Linked DNA regions of Macaca mulatta. The main gene of each other region encodes a partner of the protein of the gene in region 7 in a complex. Links are inferred from orthologs where the notes say so. Each region holds a gene or a part of one and is shown on either strand. Other genes may lie near its edges. The genes, in order: RBL2, E2F2, E2F4, LIN9, RBL1, E2F6 and TFDP2.

What was found.
Region 1: TFDP2 (region 7) and RBL2 share a complex: the UniProt entries of both Homo sapiens proteins name them as parts of the DREAM complex. The link is inferred for Macaca mulatta from reciprocal best matches to the Homo sapiens genes TFDP2 and RBL2.
Region 2: TFDP2 (region 7) and E2F2 share a complex: the UniProt entries of both Homo sapiens proteins name them as parts of the DRTF1/E2F transcription factor complex. The link is inferred for Macaca mulatta from reciprocal best matches to the Homo sapiens genes TFDP2 and E2F2.
Region 3: TFDP2 (region 7) and E2F4 share a complex: the UniProt entries of both Homo sapiens proteins name them as parts of the DRTF1/E2F transcription factor complex. The link is inferred for Macaca mulatta from reciprocal best matches to the Homo sapiens genes TFDP2 and E2F4.
Region 4: TFDP2 (region 7) and LIN9 share a complex: the UniProt entries of both Homo sapiens proteins name them as parts of the DREAM complex. The link is inferred for Macaca mulatta from reciprocal best matches to the Homo sapiens genes TFDP2 and LIN9.
Region 5: TFDP2 (region 7) and RBL1 share a complex: the UniProt entries of both Homo sapiens proteins name them as parts of the DREAM complex. The link is inferred for Macaca mulatta from reciprocal best matches to the Homo sapiens genes TFDP2 and RBL1.
Region 6: TFDP2 (region 7) and E2F6 share a complex: the UniProt entries of both Homo sapiens proteins name them as parts of the DRTF1/E2F transcription factor complex. The link is inferred for Macaca mulatta from reciprocal best matches to the Homo sapiens genes TFDP2 and E2F6.

The regions. Positions count from the first base shown.
Region 1 is NC_133425.1:48,962,316-48,966,025, reverse strand, and holds part of RBL2 (retinoblastoma-like protein 2), read right to left. Parts: intron 2,826-3,710; coding exon 2,754-2,825; intron 2,096-2,753; coding exon 1,990-2,095; intron 1,423-1,989; coding exon 1,214-1,422; intron 353-1,213; coding exon 188-352; intron 1-187. UniProt on the Homo sapiens protein: Key regulator of entry into cell division. Directly involved in heterochromatin formation by maintaining overall chromatin structure and, in particular, that of constitutive heterochromatin by stabilizing histone methylation.
Region 2 is NC_133406.1:217,472,167-217,476,393, reverse strand, and holds the start of E2F2 (transcription factor E2F2), read right to left. Parts: upstream 2,949-4,227; 5' UTR 2,477-2,948; coding exon 2,225-2,476; intron 1-2,224. UniProt on the Homo sapiens protein: Transcription activator that binds DNA cooperatively with DP proteins through the E2 recognition site, 5'-TTTC[CG]CGC-3' found in the promoter region of a number of genes whose products are involved in cell cycle regulation or in DNA replication.
Region 3 is NC_133425.1:62,733,817-62,738,189, reverse strand, and holds the start of E2F4 (transcription factor E2F4), read right to left. Parts: upstream 2,839-4,373; 5' UTR 2,798-2,838; coding exon 2,663-2,797; intron 2,538-2,662; exon of another isoform or gene 2,484-2,537; coding exon of another isoform or gene 2,348-2,483; intron 2,264-2,347; coding exon 2,154-2,263; intron 2,016-2,153; coding exon 1,854-2,015; intron 1,546-1,853; coding exon 1,502-1,545; intron 604-1,501; coding exon 542-603; intron 321-541; coding exon 20-320; intron 1-19. UniProt on the Homo sapiens protein: Transcription activator that binds DNA cooperatively with DP proteins through the E2 recognition site, 5'-TTTC[CG]CGC-3' found in the promoter region of a number of genes whose products are involved in cell cycle regulation or in DNA replication.
Region 4 is NC_133406.1:84,044,367-84,048,076, reverse strand, and holds part of LIN9 (protein lin-9 homolog), read left to right. Parts: intron 1-1,665; coding exon 1,666-1,799; intron 1,800-3,000; coding exon 3,001-3,126; intron 3,127-3,710. UniProt on the Homo sapiens protein: Acts as a tumor suppressor. Inhibits DNA synthesis. Its ability to inhibit oncogenic transformation is mediated through its association with RB1. Plays a role in the expression of genes required for the G1/S transition.
Region 5 is NC_133415.1:89,949,296-89,953,479, reverse strand, and holds the start of RBL1 (retinoblastoma-like protein 1), read left to right. Parts: upstream 1-1,271; 5' UTR 1,272-1,343; coding exon 1,344-1,499; exon of another isoform or gene 1,500-1,513; intron 1,514-4,184. UniProt on the Homo sapiens protein: Key regulator of entry into cell division. Directly involved in heterochromatin formation by maintaining overall chromatin structure and, in particular, that of constitutive heterochromatin by stabilizing histone methylation.
Region 6 is NC_133418.1:113,370,577-113,374,795, forward strand, and holds the start of E2F6 (transcription factor E2F6), read left to right. Parts: upstream 1-1,320; 5' UTR 1,321-1,578; coding exon 1,579-1,686; intron 1,687-4,219. UniProt on the Homo sapiens protein: Inhibitor of E2F-dependent transcription. Binds DNA cooperatively with DP proteins through the E2 recognition site, 5'-TTTC[CG]CGC-3'. Has a preference for the 5'-TTTCCCGC-3' E2F recognition site.
Region 7 is NC_133407.1:44,949,151-44,952,860, forward strand, and holds part of TFDP2 (transcription factor Dp-2), read right to left. Parts: intron 3,527-3,710; coding exon of another isoform or gene 3,524-3,526; coding exon 3,380-3,523; intron 1-3,379. UniProt on the Homo sapiens protein: Can stimulate E2F-dependent transcription.

The DNA.
Region 1 (3,710 bases), on a different chromosome or scaffold from region 7:
TAAAATTCCACCCTCAAGAAAAGCAAAAAAACAACAAATCCTGGGTTTTGCTGCATGGGAACTGACTGATCACTGCTCCCTGGTAGCTCTCATCACTCTAATGAGTGCCTAGGCTTAGCACAAACCCTCTTTCTAGCATCTGAAGCATTTTGGGGTTAGTAAAGGCCAAGATTGATGTTAGGCTCACCTTTGAAGGACTGTTGCTGAAGTAATAGAAAATCTTTTCTCGAGGAGAAAGCATTGTTTCATTTTTATGTGGGGAAATGTAGACAGGATGATTTTGAGACAACTGTATTCGGCGAGGGGAGCCTGTTCTTACAAATGGATAGGGAGAGAGTGGAGGAGCATCCATCTGTTAAAAAAAAAAAATCAGTAACTCTAAGAAATTTATAATGAGGTATTTTTACTGAGAATGATAAGAGTGATATATTAGCACTAATTTAACCTAAAGAAAAACATTCTAATAGCAAACCTTAAGTGCTTAGTTTGTGCCAGTTATTATTTTAAGCAATTTTTATACATTATGTCATTTCATCCTTACAACTCCATATGCTAAGAACTAGTTATATTCCCATGTTTTATATATATGAGGAAACAAGGTACAGAGAAAATTTAATGATTTGCAAGGTTACCACTACTGTTACGTACTAGACAATTTGAACCCATGTAGCCTGTCTCTTGTACTACTATACTTTGTAGGGACTCCAAATACAATCTTATTCTTGTTTAATGCTTAACAACAGAACTTATGTTGGTTAGGTAAATTACAGACCTCCTCAGTTTTACTTAATAGAATTATTTGTAAAACTAGCTTATTTATTTATGAGACAGAGTCTCGTTCTGTCGCCCAGGCTGGAGTGCAGTGGCGCAATCTCAGCTCACTGCAACCTCTACCTCCCATGTTCAAACAATTCTCCTGCCTTAGCCCCCAGAGTAGCTGGGATTACACATGTGTTCTACCACGCCTGGCTCATTTTTGTATTTTTAGTGGAGACTGGGTTTTATTTACCACGTTGGCCAGGCTGGTCTCGAACTTCTGACCTCCACTGATCTGCCCGCTTCAGCCTCCCAAAGTGCTGGGATTACAGGTGTTAGCCACCACGCTTGGCCAAAACTAGTTTATATATGGACCAGGTGAATGGTCCATATATAAATCATAAATAATTCCTCAATACTCATGAAAAAAGCATGAAATGATCCCTGTAATACTTACTACATTTGCCTGGGAGTACTTCATGGCAAATGTCTTAATCTGTTTGATGTAGATGTTGTTGTAGAACTGAATGAGGTCTCCCCTCTCTTCTTCTTCCATGTCACTGTTGGCACCTGTGAGGCGAGTAGGTGTAGGAGGAGCACTGCTGGGCTGTGGAACTGGCAAGGTGCTGCTTGACCTCATGACTGGACTGGAGTCTCTACTGGCTGCTTCCAGGAGAACACAGGGTGTCAATACAAAAGCTGCTAGTATAGATTGTTTTAATTTTTAAAAAGTAGGAGAAAGGGAACAGCTACCTGCATTACTTGCTAATAACAGTGAATAGGCATTCTGTTCTTCACACCAAAAGGCAAAGCTCAGCTAGGATTTTAACTTGATATCCCTATGCCATAACCATAGCAAGGGCTTTCTGAGTAGTATTAATAAGCTACACCAAGTTTTCTAGGACCTAAGCCCTAGGACAAACCAACAGGTAGGGGATGGTATTTCCATAGCATGGCTCCAACTGACATGTCAGTCCTTTCTGAAACTCAGGCAAGCAGATTCCTCACTGAAAGCTCTAATTCTCCTGGAGAAAAATGTTATAGAATATGTGCCCCAAAGCTATGGAATGGACAGTTTTGCCACCCAGAATTTGGTTTACTGATCCATTAAACCCTTTGTTTATACACTTTCATAGTTTCTATAGTTATTTCATTTAGTAATGGTTACTTCAAGTCCTAAAAAGTAAGAAAAGCTCCTAATTTTGTCTTGTAGTTCACAAAGATCCCACTTACTTCTATCTTTGTTTAGTTCTGTTGGAGAATTCTGATGGCTTCTGCTATCACTGCTGCCGGAATTTCGTCTTTTTCTTTTCCCTTTTATCAAAACACTTCTATACACCTTTAGAGAAATAATGAGAAGGGGATGTAAACTAGTATTTGTTGAGCACACCCTTGGTGATAGGACCTTGACATATGTTACTTTTCACAATAATCTGTGTAGCAATAGTTGTCCTCAGAAGAGGTTAAGAAACATAACTCAAATTATAACAGATCTAAGATTCAATCAGAGCCCATCTAGCTTCACATGCCAAGTACTACTTGCAGTACCACGCTGCGGTAACAGCACCCAACCATAAAGTCAAGTCATTCTAAGTCAGATACACAGATCTGCCAATTTGCCTCTCAGAGACGAATCGTAATAAAGGCAAAGTGGGTTTTAAATTTCCATGTGACATTCTCTTGGTTAAACGTACAGTATGTTTACTAAACCAGAATGGTGACATAGAAACCAAGTAACTTCTTAATTCCAATCTATCTTGTGATTTTTCTGAATTGAGAAGGCAATCAAATATTTAACATTGTTGCCTTCTGAGGAAAAGAGAACTTAATCAACATGTGACATCAAGAATAAAGAAGATTAAAGCAGAAATTTCCCTTAAGTAGAGTCCCAGGTGTTTATCTTGGAAAAAAAGGCCACAGAGTCAACTATGGTTAATTTTTTGTATTCATCACAGACTTTAAGCGTTATTTTCAGCTCATAGAGAAAATGTAGTTACCTGGCTCCGGGCCTGTGGCTGAGTCCTATAACAACGCATAATATTCTGGAAGGACTTATCTTCTTTTGTGACCTGGCAAACAATAAGAGTGCTCTGAGAGATACAACAACTTCCACCATAATAGTGTGAGGAGCTGTGTGAACCTGCTGCCCAGTAAAAGGGGTGAAAATTATATAAAAGCTATTTAAAGTCTCTGGAAATGGTATTAAAGGCATATAGCAAATGAAGATACATCGATTCAAGAATATCTATTAAAATTCATTAAGAATAATATGTGAATCAAGACTTAGAGGCCGCTGCGGTGGTTCACACCTGTAATTCCAGCACTTTGGGAGGCCGAGGAGGGTGGCTCACTTGAAGTCAGGAGTTCAGCCTGGCCATCATGGTGAAACCCAGTATCTACTAAAAATTCAAAAATTAGCCAGGCATGGTGGCATGTGCCTGTAATCCCAGCTACTAGGGAGGCTGAGACAGGAGAATCACTTGAACCCGAGAGACGGAGGTTGCAGTGAGCTGAGATTGAGCCACTGTACAGTCTGGGCAACAGAGCAAGACTCATCTCAAAAAAAAAGACTTGGAGTAGAAAATTACAGTAACTGAAATGAAAAATTCACTAGAAGCTAGGGAAAATAGATTTGAAGTAGCAAAAAAACCAAAAAGATTAGCAAACGTGAAGAGATGGTGTGATCTGAGAACAGAGAAAGAATGAAGAAAAATAAACAGCCTCAGAGAAATGTGGCACAGCATTAAGGAAATCAACATAAGTGTAATGGGAGAATCAGGAGAGGAGAGAAAGAAGCAGAAAAAAATGTTCAAAGAAATACTGAAAACTTCCCAAATTTATTAAATTACATCTCCAGGACATTCAGTAACTTGCAAGTAGGATAAACTCATCTATAACCAGATATATCACAGTAAAAATGCTCAAAGCCGAAGAAAGAGAAAATATTGAAAGCA
Region 2 (4,227 bases), on a different chromosome or scaffold from region 7:
AACAGAAGCTCCCCAACAAATCCTGCTCACCTTGCACTTTGCAGCCTGGCCACAAAGCAAGTGGCCACACCCAGGGTTGGGTTTGGAGCTGCTCCAGGTCACACCCTTGTAAAATGAGTAAGCAGAGGGCAGGCCTGCCCACGGGGCTGGGCCCCGGGCATCTGGGGATGACAGGAGTGGGAACTCTGGGCCTGGCAGGCATTTAGGGTGGTCTGCTGCAAGGAGACTCTCCTGCTTCTTTGCTTGTGACCCAGGCAAGTGACTTCCTTTCTTTGCTCAGTTTCCTTATCTGCAAGATGCCTCATTCTGAACATCTTGACCAAGATAATGAACGTGAAGAGTGCCAAGCAGTGTCTGGCACACGAGAGGCACTCAGTAAAAAAGAGACCTTCTTGCTAAGATCACTGAGCCCCTCTGGGAGGGAGGTACAGACAAGATGCACTTGGGCTCCTCTGGGAGGGTTCAAAGCAGTGGAAAACCACAGCTGTTACTGAAAATTCCAGTGTGAAAGCAGCTGGCCAGAGGAGAGTGGGCCTGCTGCAAAGTTCCCTTCCCCGGGGGGTACTCAGCTCCTAAGTCAGGCAGTAATAAAGAAAGTCAAGGCTACATAGAGAAGAGCCTACTGCCTGACCAGGTGCAGTAGCTCATGCCTGTAATCCCAGCACTTTGGGAGGCCGAGGCAAGAGGATCGCTTGAGCCCAAGAGTTTGAGACCAGCCTGGGGAACATAGGGAGACCCCTGTCTCTGCAAAAAATAAAACAGAGAAGAGCCTACTGCCTTGTGAGTCCCATCACTCTATCCCATCCCCATCTCTGACCTTAGGTCACATCCCCTCTCTGAGCCTGTTTTCCCCCTGTAACATGGAGCTACTAATGCCATCTATTTCACAAACTACAAAGATGTTTTGGGCTATAAAACGCTGACCACAAGATCACCAATCCCAGTTATCCTCGGTTGCTTAACCTGTAATATGGGGACAATACCATTCCTGCCCACTGCCCTCCTAGTTAGAAATCATGTGCAGGAAGGGTCTCCGGGAAGGTTAACGTTTTGAACATGGGCAAAGCCTGAGTCCACTGGCAGGGAGTAGTGGCTCTGCCTGCATCCAGAGCTGGCTGGGCATCCGTGCCTGCTGACTAGCACAGGTCTGACCAGATGCCTCTGGGGCAGTGGGGGGTGGTCTTATCCCTGTACTGAACTTATTCACCACACCCACAACTAAGCAAACCTATAACACCCCAATCCTCTCCCTGGAGCCGGCTTCCAAAACCCAGGACCTGGAGTCGAATGTGGCAGAGAAGAGCTAGCCCCACAGCCACCCTGTGCACACACGCATTGTCAAGGAGAGGACACTGAGGCCCAGACTGGGGCCAAGACTTGTCCAAGGACACACAGAAAATTAATGGCAGTCACACCAGAAACCAGGCTCCTCAACCACCACCACCCCCACTTCCCCGGGCTTTTCCCATTCCACCCCCCACCCTAAAGTTGTTTTGATTCACATGGGCTCCAGGAATTCCACTCCCACAAAACACACCCTGAGCCCAGGTCGGCAGGCAGCCTGGTGCCACTACACTTTGGGCCATCTCTGGCAACGAGCCTGGGAGCTTAAGGAGAGAGCAGCCAATCTGAACAGAACCCAGGGGGCTGCCCACATTTCTATCTGCTACAGGCTGCCTGGGAGGGAAGATTGGGCCTTGGGGAGGACCAAGGGCAGATACTTGGGGCTATACCAGGAGTTGGCTGGACAATTTGGAGTCTGTCCATGGCAGATTGAACCTGAGAGACTCACTAGACCTATCCCTCTGTCTTACCAAAGTCCCACAGTGTCCCCAGGCATGCTCTTTGCCTGGACAATAGCAGGCACCCAGTGCTGGTTTCTGGCCAAACAATGAAGTAATGAATGAATGGCGGCAACTTTGGCTGCATGGGCTTCCCCAAGGTCACACAGTGCACTGGGAGTAGTGGGTTGGGTCTCCCTCCAGACTCGCAATCCAGTGCTCATTCCACTCCACTAGAATGGATGAGATTACTTCATCCAAAGTCTGAAAATGAAGGGGTCTTCTACTCAGATATTGGGGGCACTGGGTCCTGGAAACTGAAAGCTCATCTTCCCTCTTCCCAAAACTCTACCTGCTCCACTCAAACTGGATCTCAGGCACCCCTCCCTCCTTTCCCACACCTGGAAAAGCATAGGGGGAAGCGGTGGGGGCCCCAGCATTACCGGCAGCCGGCCTGCCGGCAGGCATCGAACAACTTGGCCCTCGGGTCCGTGGGGAGTGGCATCGAGGCAGGTGCCGGGCGCCACTGCGGGAGGCGCCGTCTGCGGGTACAGCGGCGTGTAGTAGGTGGTAGTAGCTGGGCAGAGCTGGGGGCTGCTGAGGCCGGATGGCCACAGCTCTGTGGGGCTCATCGCGGGCACCACCTTCGGGGGCTGCCCAGCGGCCGAAACCAAGGCCCGGGGCCCTTGCAGCATAGCGAGTAAGGCGCCCCCTACCCAAACGGGCCTGGCGCGCCCGCCGACACCTGCGGGTTCCGGTGCTGCAGCCGCTCACACGGCCCGCGGCATGGCGCGGAGGCCGGGGGAAGCCACCAATGGACGTCTGCGGGGCAAGGCCGGACCCTCCCCTCCTGGCCCGCAGCCGAGCAGAGCAGCGCTTGGAGATCGCCACTTGGAGATCGACCGGCGGTTGCGGTGGTGGCACTGCCAGGGGCTGTCCCGCCCCGAGGGCACCGCGACCCGGGACGCCCCGCGCCCCCCAAGGCCTCGGCACCTGGGGTCCGGCCGGCTCTGGGGAGGAGTCCCCGGCGTGCCCGCGAGCTCCGTGGAGACGCGATGCGCTGGGACGGGGAAGGGGGTCTCGACTGCACCGACTTCCTTGCGGCCCGCTCTCTAGTCCCTGAGTCTTTCTCTGCCTCTTTTTTTTTCTTTTTTCTTTTTTTTTTTTTTTTTTTAAGCGCCAAACGGCGTGCCGCGAAATTCGGATCTCCCGCGGAAAATGCCGCGCTCCCGTTGGCTGCTGCAAGAGTACAGGCTCCACCCCCCGGAAAGAACCAGTCCTCGAGGCGGCGATTGCAACACGAGCTTCGCTGCTTAAAGGGGCAGCCACACCTGCTGTCGGTGCCGCCCGCCGCTGGACGCACTAGCTAGCAGCCGGCGAGACGGAGACAGGGTGGTTCTGGGATGCACAGTGCAGAGGCGGCCAGAACAGAGCACAGCGCCCCGAGAAATGGGCCCGGATTCCCTGGGGTTGAAGGGAAACATTTTGGCGCCGGGTCCCGACCTGAGCCCAGACTCAGCAGTGTATTCCCCAGGCCACAGGCCCTTTTGTTAGTTTGCATTGTTGCTTAGCTAGCACATGTGCATTCATATCCCCTTTCCTGCTAAAATGAAGGCCAGGAACTTGTTCCCTTTAATGGCAGAGGGGTGAGGGATGGAGGCAAACTAGTCTACTTCTTTATAGGGAAAACTAACATCTATTCAGCGCCTGCAGGATGCCAAGCACCATGCTAGATCCTTACAAGGGTTGTTTTAATTTATTCCAACAATCCTGGGAAGAGGAATGATGATCCCCATGATAAAGACTGACAGTCTGAAAGGCTGGGTAACTTGCCCAAGGTCATACAGAGAGATTCCCTGATTTGAGAGCTGGCAATGGAATCTGGGACAGGTCCCAGCTCTGGAGCCCTTGTTTTTCCAGTTAAGGGGTTCTTCTACCCTCCCAAGCTGCCTGCCGGCACAGCAGGGTCAGAGGCCCACTGCAGAGCTTTGTCTTATTCACAGTTGTATTCTTAGGACCCAACACTCAGTAAATGTTTGAACATCTCCAGGTTTCTTTTAAACAATCCTTTTGTCACAAGAGCCTCCCTGCCTCATTCAAAAATCTTCATTGCTGATAATATATTCCTCACCACTCCAGTTTAGAGAGACTCAGAGAAGCAACCTTTGGTAGTGAGTGGTAAAGCTGCTAGAAGCTGCTGCTACATTCCAGGTCTGATTCTTGCCTGGTGCTGTGTGATTTTTATGCAAGTCTGAGCCTTGGCATTCAAAACCCTCCAGAGACAGTCCACAGCTTATTTCCTCATTAGATGGTTGAGGACAAGGTGGCAATAACCCATGATGATTAAGAGCCCAGGCTGTGTGGCCAACAGCCCTGAGTTCAAACCCAGGCCCAGACACTTTATTCGTTGTGTGACCTAGGCAAATTTTGTAAATTCTCTGATCCT
Region 3 (4,373 bases), on a different chromosome or scaffold from region 7:
AGCTCCCATGGTGCCTCACCTGTGATCTCAGCTGCTGGGCCAGCCATTCCCTGGACTTCTGCGCTGCCGGGGACAGGAGTGGGAGTGAGCTGAGGACTATTTGGACGTGAGGCTTCCTGGGATTGGGACTGGGCTAGGGCAGGCTTCGGCAGAGGTGGAGGCGTGGAAACAGCAGGTGGGTTCTGGAGCAGATCTTCAGGTGGTGGCACAGGCACAGCCACAGGGGGTGAGCTCCATGCCTCCTTGTTCACCAGCAGAACCTCAATGGGACCACTCACACTCTTCAGGTGAATCTGGTACTTCTTCTGCCCATTGAGACCCTAGAGATGGGTGGTAAGGGATGGGAGATGGGTAGAATTGGAAGCAGGCTTGGCTCCTGCCCGACTCTGTCAGGACCAGTGTCCTCTCCCACCCAGGATGCCCATCCTCCTAGATAACCCCAAACTCCAGGCCTCCCCTACCTGCCCCACCCGGGACTTATCAGTCTCCACAGCCAGCACCCGCCCTCAGCTGACCCCGCCTGCCTGGGCTAAGCACCCACCTCTGGGATGGGCACCTCCAGGCTGGTGCCTGATGGGGCCCGGATGGCCAAGAGGGTATCTCCTAGAATGACATGGAGAATGGGTCAGAGCCCATGGGCTCAATCTGAGCTGGGAACAGAGGTGCCTGTCTTTTGGAGCAAGGCAGGAGATCATGGTCTCTGAGGGACTAGACAGTGGACCTCACCCATTCCCCATAGTGGCTGGGCAGAGCTAAAGCTCTTCTCTTCCTGAGAGCCCAGAGTCAGTAACCAGGAAATCTGGGTTCAAGTATGTGGAGTCAAATATCACTGGCCACAGGCACCTCACTCTTCCACCGATGGCTGTTCCCTAGGTGAAGGTATTCTAGCCAAGGCCAACATCCCTTTCCCATGACCAGTCAGGAGGATACATGATGGAGAAGAAACACATCAGCGGGGCACAGTGGCTCACACTTATAATCCCAGCACTTTAGGGGGTTGAGCGGGGAAGACAGCTTGAGCTCAGGAGTTCAAGACCAGCCTGGCAACATAGCAAGACCCTGTCTCTTTTTAAAAAAAAAAAAAAAGGAAAGAAAAAAAAGGAACATATCCTGCATTCACAATGCAATTAAACTAACAAGTTGGAGGTGGGCACCCCCATGCCCTGCATGTAAGAGCCTGCACACAAGCAAATACACACATATCCTCTCTCCCTTTCTCCCCCTTGTACCTCTATCATACTCAAGAAGCCAAATCCAGGAAACAGTACAGTTGGGAACAGACCCAGGAACCCACTCCAGAATTCCTGTACCCTCTTGGTATAGCTGACCTCCACAGGGTCCCAGTGACACTCAGACAGAAGACTTACCCTGCCTGGTTCCTCTCTGAGCAGGCCCCAGAAACCCTCTTAAGAGACGGAACTCTCCTGAGACACTGAACCCAGTGCTCAGGGATTTGGTTGAGCCCAGCCCACCCCCTCACCCCTACCCAGGCTCTGCTCACCAGCAAAGCATCTGCAGATGTCCTCATGAGTGACGTAGGCCAAAGTGTGAGGGTTAAGGAGAATGGCCGATGCCCTATGGTGACAGATGGCAGACTACAAAAAAGACCCAATTCTTTAGCCAAGGTCTGACACAGAGGCCCCTCAGAGAAAGTTCTGGGGACTCAGGTCCACTGGGGGAGGGATCACAGGCTAAGACTGGAAGGGGAGAGGCTCTGAGGAGGGAGCCTGAGGCTGGGCCATGGCCAGGGGCCACAGGACAAGCTCCCAAGAGGAACAGGGAGCTTGCCCAGGGCAAGTTGAACCAGAGGGCCCCTTGCCCACTCCCCCCAGGAGGGAACGCCAGGAGGATATCAGCTGTTCTGCACGTCCTCTGTGACGTTCCGGATGCTCTGCTGCACCCACACCTTGTGCTGGTCTAGTTCTTGCTCCCGCTGCTGCAGCTCCTCGATCTCTGCCTTGAGCTCAATCAGCTTGTCGGCAATCTCCCGGGTATTGCAGCCAGGCCCCACACCCCTGAGCCCAGGGAGTGGGGCTGAGAGGGACTGCTGAGAACTCTGGGTCCCACGGCCCCTGCCTTCTTTGGCACCCTCCACCCCACCCCCGACACTTCTGGGTGGGAGACTCTACTACCCTCCCACTATCCCCACTCACTTCCACTGGATGCTGTTCTTGGACTTTTTCTCGATCAGCCCGATACCTTCCAAAACATTGGTAATGTCGTAAATCCGCCGCTTCTGGCGTACAGCTAGGGTGTCAGCTGCCTGGCAGACAGAGTGGAGAATGCTCAGCCCCACTCTCGGGTGTACCCCCAGCCACCCTGAGACGTGGTCTGGGAAGGGAGTAACCTGGATTCCAACCCTGTAGTGCCTGCCAGGCGCTACTGCAGCTCAGGCCCGCAGCTCTGTCCCATAGGCAGCTCTTCTCCTCGCCAGCCAGGAAGGGCCACGAGGACGAACACCTGGAGCCCCGAGCCTGGCCCATAGCTGTAGCTCAATGGCCTCGGCCGAATGAATGAAACATTCCCCGGCTTCTCTCCTGTGAGAAAGCACACGATGGCGGCCGGCTCTCGGAGGACCCAGCTGGGCCGCCCCCGGGGTTCCCGCTACCGGCCCAGGCCTGGTCCACCATCCTCCCTTGTCGCCCCTTAGCCCGGGCCGCACCAGCTTGAGGTCAAGCACGCCGTCCTTGGCCTCCTGCAGAAGAGACACGAACTTGGTGGTGAGTAGTCCCAGGCTCTTTTCGTGCCGGCTTGGAGTGCCCGGGGGCGGCGGCGCCTGCGGCCCGGCCTCCGCCATCGCGTCCGCCCGCCGCCTCCCCTCAGCCAGGCCAGGCCAGGCCGGCGCCGCCGCCACTTCCGCTTCCGTTCCTGGCCGTCCGGCAGCCGGAGCCAGCGTTGCTGCTTCCGCTTCCGCCCCGTGCGTCTTCCAGGGAACGCGGCGCTATTGCTGTCTGTGGGTGCAACCGCAAAACTTCAGGGACCATTAGCAAATGTCCAGCCGCCGAATAAGACGAAAACTACCTGGGTAGACCGGGAGTTGGGATGAAGTTAGGGAGGAATGAGGAGGGCGTCAGTGGGCAGCCCTGGCAGTAGAGAAAGGGATGCCATCGGAACTTTCCTTGCCAATCTGCCCCAACATCACTAACTCTGCCCAGTCCCCATCTCGGGAGACAAGACCACACTACCTGACTAATCCAATCTGTTCCCTCAAATCAGTTCCTTTTAAATTTTTTTCTCTTTATTTATTCTTTTATATTTCAAACTCATTTTACTGCCACATCAAAAATGTTCCTAAAGGTTCCCCTACTGTCTTGGGGTCACCCCATCTATTCCTGTCCCTCACTTCCTGCCAAACAGCAAGCACTAACTATATCTACCTTGTCCACCTCTCTCCATCCATGGTCCTAGCCTCATCTTTCGCTCATCTTGTCCTCCCGCTACAGTGCTCAGAGACTATGGGGTTATATACACTTCAGCCAATGCAAACGTATTTACCTATGTGTATATATCAGTAAAGCACTCAGAGTCATTTCTGGCATGTAGGAAAGTTTGCTAGGGTCATTTTGTTACTTGTAACATTGTTACTATTTATTATTGTTTCTTTTAGGTCAGGTTCTATGGGAAATGGGACTCGAGACAGGGTTTTGCAGCAAGTTTGTTGGGGATCCACACTTCTTTTTTTTTTTTTTTTTTTTGAGACAGGATCTCACTCTGTTGCCCAGGCTGGAGTGCAGTGGCAAGATCAATGCCATCTCAGCTTCCTGGGCCCAAGCGATTCTCCCACCTCAGCCTCCCAAGTAGCTGGGACCACAGGCATGCACACACCATGCCTGGCTCATTTATTTTTAGTTTTTGTAGAGATGAGAGTCTCACTATATTGTCCAGGCTAGTCTCGAACTCATAGGCTCAAGCGATCCTCAGACCTCATCCCAATGCTGGGATGACAGCGTGAGCCATCACACCTGGTCAGGATCCACACCTTTAAGGGAGTAAGACAAGCAGAATCGGGCAGATGCAATTATATTATAGGCCTCAGCCTATGCCACTAGGATCTCTGAAATTGGGGTAGCACTTCTGAAGAGTTTATGTTCACGTGATGGTACCATGCTTTTGCACCCCAATATTGATCTCAGCAGCCTACACTCCTGGCAGCTGGAGAATGAGCACTTCTGTCCTGAAGGGTGGATTTGGGTGGTGGACTGAACATCCACTAAATTATTACCACCTTATAGTCCCTTCCCTGGCTCCCTATAACTCTCAAGATAAACACAGCTGCCCAGTTGCGGTGACTCACGCCTGTAATCCCAACACTTTGGGAGGCTGAGGCAGGCAGATCACTTGAGCCCAGAAGGCTGCCGTGAGCTATGATGGTG
Region 4 (3,710 bases), on a different chromosome or scaffold from region 7:
AGGCTGTAGTGAGCAATGTTTGCACCACTGCACTTCAGCCTAAGTGACGGAGAGAGACCCTGTCTCAAAAGAACAAACAAAACCAAAACACACACACACATGCACAAAATTGGTTTAACATGACTTTATACTATGTTTTAATGCCTGTTAAGATATTATCACATATTTTTTTTTTAAGATTTTTTTCCTTTTTTTTTTTTTGACACGGAGTCTCACTCTGTCGCCCAGGCTGGAGTGCAGTGGTGTAATCTCTGCTCATTGCAACCTCCGCCTCCCAGGTTCAAGCTGTTCTTCTGCCTCAGCCTCCCGAGTAGCTGGGACTACAGGCACAGCCACCACGCCTGGCTAATTTTTGTATTTTTGGTAGAGATAGGGTTTCACTGTATTGGCCAGGCTGTCTCAAACTCCTGACCTTGTGATTCACCTGCCTTGGCCTCCCAAAGTACTGGGATTACAGGTGTGAGCCACCGCACCTGGCCTAAGATTTTTTCCTAAATATTTTTGTGCATTTATTTTTCCATGTAGACTTTAGAATCAACTTGACTAGGGAAAAAAATGGCCTGTTGGCATTTTGACTGGGGTTGGACTAATATTATAAATTAATTTATGAGAAATGACATATCTATAGGTAACATTGAGACTACCTAAGAACTGATTGTAGTTGCACTTAGTTCTTAGTATTCCACAGACTTTAACATTTTTTTCCATATCAGTCTTGCATGTTTCTTAAGTATATTTCTACATATTTAATATTTTTTGTTTATGTCAATTTTTTTCGCTATGATAAACAGGATATAAACTCTAATGACCTGTCCAGTTATTATTTATATATAGAAAAGATAGTGATTTTTTTGAATTGTGGTTTTTGTATATCAACTTTGTATTTACCCATTTCATTAAATTTTCTTACTGTTTTTAATTGTTACAGTGGATTTTCTTGTGTTTTCAGCTACAAGAAAATGGTAGTTTTATCTTCTTTCTAAATTTTATTATTCTTACCTGATTGGCCAACTCCTTCAAAACAGTGTTATGAAATAGCAGTCGTAGTTGAAATCTTTGTCATACTAGGTTAGTGGTGGTAGTTGAAATATTTGTCATTCTGATTGTCTTTTAATATTATGATACTGGTTTTTGGGTTGGAGTGGAGAGAAATGTTTTACTAGATTAAAAAAGTATCCATCTAAGCCGGGCGCTGTGGCTCACACCTGTAATCCAGCACTTTGGGAAGCTGAGGCAGGCAGATTACCTGAGATCAGGAGTTCGAGACCAGCCTGGCCAACATGGTGAAACCCGGTCTCTACTAAAAATACAAAAATTAGCTGGGTGTGGTGGTGCACGCCTGTAGTCCCAGCTACTCGGGAGACTGAGGCAGAATTGCATGAACCCGGGAGGCAGAGGTGCAGTGAGCCAAGATTATGCCACTGCACTACAGCCTGGACGACAGAGCAAGACTCTGTCTCAAAAAAACAAAACAAAACAGCAATAATCAAAAATAATCAGAGTGTTTAAAACAGCAACAAAAATTCCATGTTGAATATTGGTGAATCTTTTTGAGTACTTAAACATAATTTACCTTTTGCAAATTTTTTCAGGGTTATAAATGTTCATTTTTACTTAATGGAGCTATAAATTAATCTCTCTCTCTCTTTTTTTTTTATTGTATAGAAATTTACAGCAACAATGTCAACACCAGATAAGAAAGCTTCACAGAAGATTGGTTTTCGATTACGTAATCTGCTCAAGCTTCCTAAAGCACATAAATGGTGTATATACGAGTGGTTCTATTCAAATATAGATAAGTATGTATCATGGCTTATATTATGAATATTACTTGAATCGTAAATTTAAGTTTTTCAAGTGTTTTAAACTACAACATTTTCTATAGGTCTATTTTGATCTTATTTTTCCCTGAATTCATTTTTCTATTCCACATTCCAGTTGGATTTATTCTGTTTGTTATAGTTTTCTTCCCCATTATCCTTGTTGGGGAAGAAAACTATACATTTTTGTGAAGAATTGATTAGAGTATAATTTCTGTGTTATAATTTTTAAAGACTATGGAGTAGAGATACCTTAAAACACCATTATTTGCAATGAATGAGATTCATTTTATAATTGAGATGTTAAGTGTTGGTATAATCATAGAGAAACCATTACTAATGGTAAAAATGGCTTAAGATTTTTAGGAGGGTAGTCTTTCTAGTTTGGATATGGTACTTAAGCACATTAGGTATACACATATGCTTAAGTATAACATAGTATGAGATTTGACTGAAATACAGTTATTCAACAATGGAATTTACTGAGGAAAAGTTCTTATTTATAATCCTTCCTCATATGCCAGTCATTGCTGCTTGCTCTGCTGGATATTTATGTTTACTTCCCTTCTCTGTTTTCTATACCAGTTGCCTACTCTGGAGCTTGTGAATCTCATGAATGTTCATATGTGAGCCCAAGGCATTGATGTATCATTGCCAACACTGGTTCCTGGTTTCCCAGACTCATGAATAGAATTGTTTTATTTTTGTCCATAGGCTTAAGAGAGTTTTCAGGGTGTCTCAGTGTGATCTGAGTTCTTCTGGGATTCCCCCAAGCTAATCTAACCCTCTAGAGTCCTCCAGTGTCCCAAGACTGGTTTAATTCAAGAGAGGACTCCTTGGTGATGGTATTCCTTTGGGACAAAGATACTTTGTAGCTGCCTTGGTTTATCTTCACCTGATATAAGGCCAGGGCCAGGATAGCCTCCCAAAGGATATATCTGTATAAGAAATTGAACAAAAATCAGTGTCTTTTAGAATCACAACACAAATAATATTTCTTGAACAACTTTTACACATTAGATGTTTCACAAATGCCAAGGATTTAGTTTTAGCACTTTGAATTTGTGCCAGTTTTTATGTATATGGGGTAGAAATGAAAGTTTAGCATTTTGTGATTTTATGTGTTTTAAGAAAGTAACACATTGTATGTAACCATTAAAATACGATTTCTGTTTTACAGACCGCTTTTTGAAGGTGATAATGACTTCTGTGTATGTCTAAAGGAATCTTTTCCTAATTTGAAAACAAGAAAGTTAACCAGAGTAGAATGGGGAAAAATTAGGCGGCTTATGGGAAAACCACGGAGGTAAAAATAATGTTTTTGTTTTTGTTTAAAATAAATTCAAGCTAGGAGCAGTGCATGTACTTATAATCCCAGTTACTTGGAAGGCTAAGATGGGGTATTTGCTTAAGGCCAGGGGTTCAGGGCTGTAGTATGCTGTGATTACACCTGTGAATAGTCACTACACTCCAGCCTGGGCAACACAGTGAGAACCTTCCTCTAAAAAGAATTAAAAAATAAAATCAGTAAAAGTTGTTAGTATCATTACTACATTGATTTTTTTTAATCTTTGAAATGACTAGTACCAAAACATAACTTTTCAGAATAATTATGTATTAAATATATCCTGTTAACCAACTTTAATGTAGGTGCTGTTTATGCTTATGTATCTTATAATTAAATGCACAATTTCATTTTTGTTAGGATCACAGGTTTTGAACATAATTTTTTTGTTTTACGTTACCTATGTCCCTCTGTGTTCCAAAAAATACTTGAGTGTCCTAAAAAGTATTTAAGGATACTGTAAAGTTCTGTGTACATTTTTGTTATCTTTTGTGAAATCCTTTATCATCTCAGGAGCCTTCCCAGAAATGCCTATTTTACTTTAT
Region 5 (4,184 bases), on a different chromosome or scaffold from region 7:
GCGCGGGCGTGCCGGCACTGCTGGGGGACCCAGCGCAACTTCCGCAGCTGCTGGCCCGGGTGCTAAGCCCCTCACTGCCCTGGGCCGGCGGCGCCAGCTGGCCGCTCCGTGTGCGGGGCCCGCCGATCCCCAGCCCGCGCCCGCTGGAACTTACACTGGCCCGCGAGCCCCGGGCGCAGCCCCGGTTCCCACCCGCACCTCTCCCTCCACACCTCCCTGCAAGCAGAGGGAGGCGGCTCCGGCCTCAGCCAGCCCAGAGAGGGGCTCCCACGGTGCCATGGCGGGCTGAAGGGCTCCTCAGGCGCCGCCAGAGTGGACGCTGAGGCCGAGGAGGCGCTGAGAGTGAGGGCTGCTAGCACATTGTCACCTCTCACAACCATTCAGAGGCTGGAGTGAAGTTACAAAGTTGCAAATGAAGACTGGAAGGCGCTCAGTGTGGTTTCTTGTGGATGGTCAATTTCCCATCTGCCATGCATGAAAGGTCCAAGGGAATAACCTCTGGTTCTTTTGTTACTTAGGCGTGGAAAGTTGGGGTTTTCCTTTCAATTTAGTTCTAGGAAGTCACGTGAAACAGCCATAGGTTCCCTGCCTCCAGACCCTATTCTCCTGCCTCATTACTGCAGTCTTCTCTGCCCGCGTCTTTTAGCGACTAACATAAGATGAGGATCCAACTTCTAATATCCCTCACCAGTCCTTCCCCTCCGTCATTTAGCGAACCGCTCACTGGGCACTGGGACTTTGGGGAGAGTCCCAGGAGGCCCCTCTTCGTCCAGGGGCTATTTTTTTTCTCTTCCAGCCTCCATCTCCTAACTCAAGGGGTACAGCTCAGTCAGATTATGTTTGGCGCCCCGGGACAGTGACAAACCCAGGGCCCGTGGATAGAGGAGGCATCTCACTACGCTGCACGAGGCCACCTCGCAGTAGGCAGCCCAGGCCTGCCCAAAAACCCAGGAGCCTAACCAGGAAGACAGGGGGAGGCCGCGGGCTTCATCTCCCAGGAGATGGACTACATCTCCCAGCAGGCTCTGCGCGCAGGCTGAGGATCCCTCCGCTCTTTTTTTTGTCCCGCCGGCTCGGCCCCCCGCGACCAGCCAAGGGCTAAGGCCAGGTATTTCAGAATCTGAGGTCCGTATTCTTATCACATTTCTGGGGAGGGACGGCTAGGAGCTCCGGAGGAAAAACGGACTTTTTTTTGAGGAGAAAAGCGGAGGCAGACGGTACAGACGAAGCACCCCCGCAACTGCAAGTTTTCGCGCGCTTTGGCGCAGGTGGTTGTGGGTAGCGCGCCTGGGAGGGAGAAAGAAGTCGGGGGCCGTGGCGCGCCGCCCGCGGGGCCTGAAGGGATGTTCGAGGACGAGTCCCACGCTGAGGGGGTGGCGGTGGTCGCCGCAGCCGGGGAGGCGCTACAGGCCCTGTGCCAGGAGCTGAACCTGGACGAGGGGAGCGCGGCCGAAGCCCTGGACGACTTTACTGCCATCCGAGGCAACTACAGCCTAGAGGTGAGCGGCAGCAGGTAGGGCGGCCGGACCCTACCCTCGCCAGGCCCCACCCCTGCCCCGCCCCTTCCCCGGCCTATGGGGTGGTGGGAGTTTCCCCATCTAGGAGGGTCGCTGCGCAGCCAGGCGCCGAGGGGCGGGAAGGGTGGATGTTGCTCAACCAATCCGCCCATCATTTTGAGGCGGGAAACTGAAGCCCAGGAAAGGAGCGGCCTAGGCCCTGCGCCACTCAAACCCCGGTCTTCCTGACCACACTTTACCCCGCTAAGCGCCACAAACGTCATGGTGGTGCCCTTAAATCGGTAAGAACAAATATAATGGTAAAGTGAAAATGAACTGCCTACCGAGACACCACTGGCCAGAGCTTTAAATGGACCCTCTCAGTTCCGTCTGAACCCCTTCTGTGATCCCCGTTCCACGCAAGAGGAAGCGGAACCCCAGACAGGTTAAGCTACAGGCCCAAGGTCACGCGGTTAGAGATGGAGCCAGACCCAGGGTCTGAGCCGTTTAACCTCCACCCTCTGCTTCATCAGGGTGGAGCTGCTGGTTGCTGTGCAGCGGTTTGATCAAAGCCAGTGTGCATACGAAGCTGATCTCAGCCCTGCGTTTCCTCCTCTGTCAGAGCATCGTCCTGATGCTTTGCATCAGCGTCTAGCTCTGAATAAAACAAATGTCAGTTATAATTACTCGATTTTTTTCCCCATCATTCTTGCATTTTATCTTCATAACAGCCCTGTGAACGTGGCATGGCAATGAGTATTAGACCTGCTTTCCAGGTGATAATGGCAAGGCTCAGAAGGTTGTCTTGCCCAGGGTTATTCTAATACAGAAACCCAGGCTGGGCGTGGTGGCTCACGCCTGTAATCCCAGCACTTTGGGAGGCCAAGGCGGGCGGATCATTTGAGGCCAGGAGTTTGAGACCAACCTGGGCAACATGGCGAAACCCCGTCTCTACTAAAAACTACAAAAATTAGCTGGGTGTGTTGGCGCCTGCCTGTAATCCCAGCTACTTGGAAGGCTGAGGCAGGAGAATTGCTTGAACCCAGGAGGCATAAGCTGCAGTGAGCAGAGATCACACCACTGCACTCCAGCCTGGGCGACAGAGCAAGACTCTATCTAAAGAGAGCAAGATGAGTATAAGCCTGATGGAGTGTATTTCATGTAGCACTCCACTGGCCCCATGTTCAAAGGCTTTCATGTGCCAAGGGCGCTGGACCAACTCCCAGGGTGCACCACTGACTCACCACCCAGTGAAATAATTGCTGGGTTCAAAGGCATAGAGTTGGATGTATATTGACTGTGTGCCTATATATGAAGGAAAAGTACCTGAAAAAGTCTTCCAGACTGGATAGACTGGGTAAAGGACAATGGTCCACATCCGTGGGTGGCATGACTGGAAAGCTGTGAGAAGAATAAGAAAGTAAGGGAGATTAGCCAGAGACGGTGGCTCATGCTTGTAATCCCAGCTCTTTGGGAGGCCAAGGCGGGCAGATCACGAGGTCAGGAGATTGAGACCATCCTGGCTAACACAGTGAAACCCCATCTCTACTGAAAATACAAAGAATTAGCCGGGCATGGTGGCGGGCACCTGTAGTCCCAGCTACTCCTGTCTCCTGAGACAGGAGAATGGCCTGAACCCGGGAGGCGGGGCTTGCAGTGAGCCGAGATGGCACGACTGCACTCCAGCCTGGGCCACAGAGTGAGACTCTGTCTCAAAAAAAAAAAAAAAAAGAAAAAAAAAAAAAGACAGATTAGAATGAATGGCCTCTCAATTGAAAACAGATTGATTTTTGAAAGCCTGAAAAAGCATTTCTGACATCCTAGTCTCATTTGGTCTCTCTTGCCCAAGGTCACACCATCTGTCATTGAATAAGTATTTACTGTGTCAAAACGGTCAAGGCGTGCACCTGTTTCAGATTCTTGAATATGACAAGCTTTTTCCCAGTTTTGTGGTATATCCGTGCCGTTCCCTCTGCCTGGAATCTTTCCCATCACCCCCAACACCAGGAAAGGTTGAGAGCTAAATCTCTAATTAGGCAGAGTTGAATAGGACAACTTCAATGTTTGCTTTATTTATTTATTTATTGTTTTTTTTTTTTCTTTCTTTCTTTTTTTCTTCCTTAGAAACAGGGTCTTGGCTGGGCACACGGTGGCTCACGTCTGTAATCGCAGCACTTTGGGAGGCCGAAGTGGGCAGATCTTCTTAGGTCCAAGACCAGCCTGGCCAGCATGGTGAAACCCCGTCTCTACTAAAAATGTAAAATTAGCCGGGCATGGTGACATGCGCCTGTAATTCCAGCTACTGGGGAGGCTGAGGCAGGAGAATCACTTGAACCTGGGAGGTAGAGGTTGCAGTGAGACGAGATTGCGCCATTGCACTCCACCCTGCACAACAAGAGTAAAACTCCGTCACAAAAAAAAAAAAAAAGAAAGAAAGAAAAGAAAAGAAACAGAGTCTTGCTCTTTTGACCAGGCCTGGAATGCAGTGGTGCAATTGTAGCTCACTGTAAACTCAAACTCCTAGGCTCAAGTGATCTTCCTGCTTCAGCCTCCCCAGTAGCTGGGACTACAGGCATACGCCACCGTGCTCAGCTAATTTTTCAATTTTTTATGGAGATAGTATCTGACTATGTTGCCCAAGCTGGTCTTGAACTGGCCTCAAGTGATTCTTGTGCTGCAGCCTCCCAG
Region 6 (4,219 bases), on a different chromosome or scaffold from region 7:
TACAGTGAATTATGACCATGCCACTGCCCTCCAGCCTGGGTAATGGGGAAAAAAAAAGATTAGAGACCTCTGACATCATAGTCTAGTGGGGAGCCAGCTTCTTCAGGGATTTCTCCCTACCTCACCTCGCCCACCTCAGGCTGTGTAGAAACCCCCAGTCTAACCGGTTGTTTCCCTCCAACTCTGTACACACCACGGTGTGTTACCTTTTTATTTCAAACATGTGCTGGCCTCTGTTCTAATCACAGCAACCTGTATCCATTAATCCATTTAATCCTCACAACAACCTTATCAGGTAAGTATTGTCATTATTCGCATTTTCCAAATAAGGAAACTGAGGCACAGGCAGATTAAGTAACTGGCTTAATAAGGTCTTCTGGTTTATAAGTAGGAGCCAGGATTTGAAAACACACCTCTGGCTCCAGCTTAATTAACATGCTCTGTTTACTTATCTGTCCCCACTGAAATTGGAGGTTGAACCTGTGGCATATCCAAATGAGTAAGTATCGCCTGTGCTCACCCCAATATCTGACACTATAGGTCCACGATAACTCATTCATCAAACAGGAAGGAGGGAGGAAGGAAGGAAGGAAGGAAGGCAGGAAGGAAGGAAGGCAGGAAGGAAGGAAAGAAGGCAGGCAGGCAGAAGTAAAACGATACCACAATGGTTTGGTTGCTCACATTTACTAAGCATCAACACTGACCCGCCTGTAAGATGTGCTAACAGAGCTCAGGAATAAATGAAGGCCGGGCGTGGTAGCTCATGCCTATAATCCCAGCACTTGGGAGGCCAAGGTGGGAGGATGGCTTGAGCCCCAGAGTTCAAGACCAGTCGGTGCAATATACTGAGACTCTGCCTCTACTAAAATTAAAATTAAAAATTAGCCGGGCGCAGTGGCGCGCGCCTGTAGTCCCAGCTACTTGGGAGGCTGAGGTGGGAGGATCGCTTGAGCCTAAGAATTCGAGGCTGCAGTGAGCCCTGACCACGCCACTGCACTCCAGCCTGGGCGACAAAAAAAAAAAAAATTAAAATTAAAAAAAGGAATAAATGAACATCTTTGCGGCTGAGAGCTTTCAGTTATCACCGTCGAGAATTCCAGGCGAGCGCTGCGTTTTCCCAGCTGCCTGTTTTCTCTCACCCCCGTTCCCTTCCTCTGGAATCCGGCTCCACCTCTTCCTTTTCCTTTGCCAGCCTCTCCGTGGATTCCGCGGTCCGGGTTTCCCGGGCGCCAGCCGCCGGGAGAGGATCAGTGCGTGGGAGCGCTCCGGCCGCGGCGGGCATGCGCAGAGGGGGGCGGTACACTGCGCATGCGGAAAAATGGCGGGCCGGGCTACTTGAGAGCCGCGGGTTTACCTCCTCCTTTCCCGTCTTCGTCGGGAGTTCCCGGGCACGTGAGGCAGTGCCGCGTTTGCTGGCGGGTGGGACGGCCTAGCCGGGCGGGGCCTTGGAGGACGCCGCGGATCCGTCAGTTTCTGGGCCCTTGGAAATCGGCGCGTGGGGGGCGGTGATCGAGCTGCGCGCGAGAGGGCGGGAGAGCTCGCGGGGTGCGAGGGGAGCGGGACGCCCGGCCGGGCAGCATGAGTCAGCAGCGGCCGGCGAGGAAGTTGCCCAGTCTCCTCCTGGACCCCGCGGAGGAGACGGTTCGCCGTCGGTGCCGAGACCCCATCAACGTGGAGGGACTGCTGGTAAGCTCCGGGACGGGAGGGGGACGGGCGGGGGTCTCCCAAAGCTGGCCCCCTCCTCCCCGCGCCGCCGCCAACCCCGCTGGCCGTCGTCTCGGTCGTCTGCTCCCCCTGGGCCAGGCGCTGCCCATCACGTGCTGCGAAACTGCGCTCTCCCGCCTTCTGCTTTCAGCATCTGTTCACAGACGTGGTGTCAGTCTTCTGGACTTTTACATCGGAACTTCAGGGCACTGTTGGAGAAAATTGCTCAACTTTGCATTGGAAAGGCCATGTTTTTCTCCTTCAGTGGACTCTAGCTGTATCTCTGCAACCTATCATTTGTTCTTCTACCTTCTCTCTCTTCTGCTCTACTGCAGCCGTTTAAAACCTTGTCCACGCTTTATATTTACCACGCCACAGCTCCCATTCATAAAATTATCTCCCCACCTGTTTGACGGAGAAAATGGTTAGGAGATTTGGCTCCCTTTCCCACAAAGACTGATTTCTTCTACTCTTGTTCTGGACCAGATACTGTATTCCCCGGTTCTCAAGGTCCTTAACAAATGCGTTCTTTTCCATTCCTCCCGTATTTTCTTTTTCTTTTTTTGAGATGGAGTTTTTACTCTTGTTCCCCAGGCTGGAGTGCAATGGCACGATCTCAGCTCACTGCAACCGCCGCCTCCCAGGTTCAAGCGATTCTTCTGCTTCAGCCTCCCATGTAGCTGGGATCACAGTCATGCGCCACCACACCCAGCTAATTTTGTATTTATAGTAGAGACGGGATTTCACCGTGTTGGCCAAGCTGGTCTCGAACTCCTGACGACCTCAGGTGATCCACCCGCCTCGGCCTCCCAAAGTGATGGGATTACAAGGCGTGAGCCACCGAGCCCGGCCTCTCCCCATATTTTCAATTTCTCTGCTGCTTTCTTCCTATAACTAGTAGTAATTAAACATTTTCCCAAGTCATTATGCCTGGTCCCCATACCAAATAGTTTGTGATTATTGTCTCATTTAATTTCTCACAGCAGTGTTTTATAATAGTAAAAGACTATTATTCTTGTTTTACGGTTGCCAAAACAGACCTGGAGATGCATGTAATGCCGGCTTGCCTGTGGCTAGATAGTAAGTGGAGAAACTTGGGTTGAACCTCCAAATGTCTAACTCCAGATGATAAATTCTTGACTACTAAAACCACATTCTCAATCCATCCCCATCTTAAAAGATCCCTCCCTTAATTCCATATCCCTTGCCATCTACTGTCTCTCTTCCCCTTCACAGCTAAACTTCTTGAAAAAGTTATTTACACTCACTCTTTCCACTTGATCGTCTCATTATCAGCCAACCCACTGCTGGGGACCCCTATCCTCAGCACACTTGTGAGACCATTCTAACCAGGGTCACCGACAATCTCGTCAATTCCAGCAGCTGTTGTAGTTTTGACACAAAACTACTTGTGTTGGAAACTCTCCCTTGAGTTTCCTTGACATTGATGTTCCATCTGCTTCTCTGGGCTCTCCTTGTCCTCATCCTCTTCCCAGTCCTTCATTTTTTTTTCCCCCGAGACAGGATCTCACTCTGTCACCCTGGCTGGAGTGCAGTGGCACATCCTGGCTCACTGCAGCCTTGACCTCCCAGGCTCAAGTGATTCTTCTGCCTCCACCTCTCTAGTAGCTGGGACCACAGGCACATGCCACAAGGCCTGGCTAATTTTTTTATTTTTAGATATGGAAGTCTTCCTGCGTGGCCCAGGCTGGTCTTGAACTCCTGGGCTCAAGCTGTCCTCTCACCTCAGTTTCCCAAAGTGCTGGGATTACAGGTGTGAGCCACCGTGGCTGGCCACATGTTGATGATATTCAGGGTTCTCTTCTGCTGTCTCTACACATTCTTCTTAGGGGAGTTCATTCTCTCCTCCCATGACTTATGTTACCGTCTACATTTGATCCTTGAACGACTCAGGGTTTGGGGCACCAAATCACATGAAATTCAAAATCTGAATATAACTTTGATTCCCCCAAAACTTTACTGTTTCCTGGAAGCCTTACTGATACTGTAAACAGTTGATTAACACATATTTTGTATTTACATGTATTAGTTAGTGTATTCTTATAATAAAGTAGCTAAAGAAAACGTTATTAAGAAAATCATAAATAAGAGAAAGTCCTACTCATTCAGGGGAATTAGATGATCGTAAAGGTCTTCATCCTTGTCTTCACACTGAGTAGGCTGATGAAGAGGAGTAAGAGGAGGAGTTGGTTTTGCTCTCTAAGTTGTGGCAGGGGGTAAAGAAAATTGGCATCTAAGTGGACCCACACAGTTCAAACCTGTGTTGTTTGAGGATCAGCTGTATATTGGTACCATCTGTATTGGTCGTCTTAATATTTGAGAATTTGATAAAAACTCTAAGCTCACTGTGGAAAAACCACTTAGTTTGCATGCAATATCAGCAGATACATCGCTTGAAATCTTAGACATACATTTCTGGTATTTTCAGTTACCATATCGTAATTCCCAAATCTATAAATCTCCCTCAGGGTTTTCCAGCTGTCTACTAGACCTT
Region 7 (3,710 bases):
TGACTCTTCAATGAGGACAGCTGATCATACAGATATCTCACACATCATGGTAGGCTGGGCGTAGTGGCTCACGCCTGTAATCCCAGCACTTTGGGAGGCCAAGGTGGGAGAATCACTTGAGATCAGGAGTTTGAGACCAGCCTGGCCAACATGGCGAAACCCCGTCTCTACAAAAAATACAAAAGCCGTGTGTAGTGGCGCGCGCCTATAGTCCCAGCTAATTGGGAGGCTGAGACACAAGAATTGCTTGAACTCGGGAGGTGGAGGTTGCAGTGAGCCGAGATCACGCCACTGCACTCCAGCCTGGGCAACAAAGCAAGACCCTGTCTCAAAAAAAAAAAAAAAAAAAAAAAGAAACATGCTTATTGGACAAATTTTCCAGCTTCAAACCACTGCTTTTTTTTTCTCAATCTGATAACTACTTAAAGAAAACAGACTTAGGGTCTGAACTTCCTTGCAGTTGAGTTCCTCACTGTCTCCTTGGGCAAAAGCCAAAGACATCTATTAAGAAAATTTATGGCCGGGAGTGGTGGCTCACGCCTGTAATCCCAGTACTTTGGGAGGCCAAGGTGGGCGGATCACGAGGTCAGGAGTTCGAGAGCAGCCTGGCCAAGAGACCAGCCTGGCCCATAAAGTGAAACTTTGTCTCTACTAAAAAAAAAAAAAAAAAAAAAAAAAAATTAGCCAGGCATAGTGGCAGGCACCAGTAATCCCATCTACTTGGGAGGCTGAGGCAGGAGAATTGCTTGAACCTGGGAGGTGGAGGTTGCAGGAGCTGACAAAGATCGTGCCATTGAACTCCAGCCTGGGTGACAGAGCAAAACTCCAACTCAAAACAAAAAAAAAAAAAAGAAAGAAAATTTACAGGAGCCCATTGGTTTGGACTGAGCTCCTGCACTAGGCCCCAACAGACCAAACTAAAATGGAGTCACTCATGCTGAAGTTCCATGCCACCAGGCCAAAACTAAGTTGTTTATCTGACCTAGGAAATCAGGAGAGAAAGACAGAATAGTAAACTACCCAAACAGGCCAGTTGCAGCTGGCATAAGAGAGTCTTCTCTGTTTTACCCTTACAAGGAAAGTGACATTGAAATGTCCAGTCTGCTTTTTCATCTGTTTCTGCCTCTATCTGCCTTTGCTGCTTCTCTATCTTTAAAACACTGAATAATGTTCAACCTCTTCTGCTCAGCTTATAGGAACACTCATTCTACTTACTAGTGAGGTATTGCCAGATTCTAGAATCACAAATAAAAGACAATTAAGATCTTTAAATTTGTTACAATTTTGTCTTTCGATCATCAAATAAGACATTTTTCTTTTCTGCTTCAGCAGATTATCTCTTACTTGCTCCGCATCCAGTCTAGTTTATACTAGGGAGTTTCCATTCATGATTCCTCTATCCACCACGTTTTACTTTTAAATTACTTAAGATTCACGTAAAATCTGTGTGGCGTTCTACATTGGAAAAGATGTTGTAGGAGCATCCCTTTATCAGAAGCTCTGACAAGCAAGGCCCCTTATCTGTCCCTCATCCAACTAGGTCAAGCCACACCGATTCTACCTCTATAACACCTCTCCAATCTCATGGCCACTGCTGTTAACTCAGACCATCTCTAATCCCCCTCCTCCATTCCATTTCCTTCCCTACCTGTTAATTTTACTTCCAACCCACTGGCAGAGTGATCCTTCAAAAAACATCCTATCAACCCTTCTCTTTGTAATTTATCAACTGCTTCCCTTTGTTTACAGGATCAGGTCCCCACTGCTTAACACTTAGATATCTATCCATCTTTCTAAATGCCTGTTCCCTAGCCACACCCAGCTCCAGGCAAGCTTTCTCACGCCTGTCTCAGCCCATGCAGCGCCTCTGCCTGGAAGGCCCTCCCCACCCGTATCCACTTGGCAAACTACTCCCACCTCATGCCTGAGCTCTGGGATTATCTCCTTGGTAAAGCCCTCCCCCATCCCTCTTTGCAGAGAATCTGTACATTTCTTTCATAGGAGTAATCACATTTTTGGTTAACTCTTTTACATTTCTCTTCTCCCCAGTTAGAATGACAGTTCCTTGGGTTCAGAGATTTGCCTTGTATAACCTGTGATTAAGCACAAGGTAGATGTGAATAGGTTTTTTTGCTTAGTAAGTCTTTAGTATAAGCTCAATATTACTCATGAAAATGATGCTCAAATTCCACTCTATCAGAAGGAAGAAAAACGAGAAAAGGAGGATATTTCCACTGTAGCATATGAAAAATATTATATAGCTTCTGATGAATATCTGGTTTCTCTCTCCATCCATAAGTATAATAATACCAAATAACTGAATTGCTGGGGAGAAAAAAGACTGAGAAAAACAGAAAACCAATCTTAATTATCTCCCAAAGCTATATGTATATACACACACACACACATATATATATATACATTTTTTTAAAGATGGAGTCTTGCTCTTATCGCCTAGACTGGAGTGCAATGGCATCATCTTGGTTCACTGTAACCTCTGCCTCCCGGGTTCAAAGGATTCTCCTGCCTCAGCCTTCCCAGTGGCTGGGATCACAGGCGTCCGCCACTGGCTAATTTTTGTATTTTTAGTAGAGATGGGGTTTCACCATTTTGGCCAGGCTGCTTGAACTCCTGACCTCAGGTGATCCACCCACCTTGGCCTCCCAAAGTGCTGGGATTATAGGCGTGAGCCACTGCGCCTGGCCCCAAAGCCGTATTTAACCTCAGTTTATTCCATTTATGGTCATGGTAGTAAAATTATGTCATGTCAATTTAGAAACAGTATGTCAGGGAACATGCTCATGTAGAAAGAATTTTCTATAATGCTTAAAGTTAACAGAACTTAAAATGCTTCTGCATACATAATTCCAAAATTCTATTCATTCTGGTAAAGACACAAACGAAACACTATTCATTCTGTTGCTATTATTTCTAAAGTCAAATGCAAAAGTCTGACTTTCACAGCTATATTCAGAATATTGTGTAACCAATAAAGGAAATCAACAGCCAGCTTGATCCTTTTTTTTTTTTTTTGGATACATACAGCAAGCATCTTATCAAATAAGATACCATTTCACCAAAAGTTTATTAGTAGAGTGCTCAGAATTAACTTAGAATGAAATAAAAATCTTCTCTAAGAAACAGTAAAATCAAACTGTTATTTAACTTTTATATCCCTCAGTTTCATCATTTACAAATTAAACTGTAGACTATACCTATAAGGCACCTTCCAATTCTAAAATTCTACAGTCTGTTAAAAAATGACATAGTATACATGAAAAATTGGAAATATTTTATATTACAATTACATTTTTAAATTAAAATGCCTCTGATGTAAAATAATACAAAAAGCTATTCATAAACAGATTTTCTCACTTACCTCCAGATTCTGACATTCCTGAGCAGAATTGGTAGGCAGGCCAATCCACTTGATTTCTTTTTTTTCCTTTGAAATTATGTTCATTGCCATTAGCACATTTAAAGCATCATAAACTCTTCGCCTAATGTTTTTCTGATCGTAAGCCTGCTAAAAAACATTTTCATTGAGTGATAATTAAGGGTTAAGATACAGTCACATGATATTAATATGTCAAATTAATATTATGTCTTCAAAGTGCTGGAAGGATTCTATTTTTTTATTTAGCAAACTGACAAAGACATCCAAAAGAATTCTATATTCCGTGAAAATATCCTTCAAAATTAAAGATGAA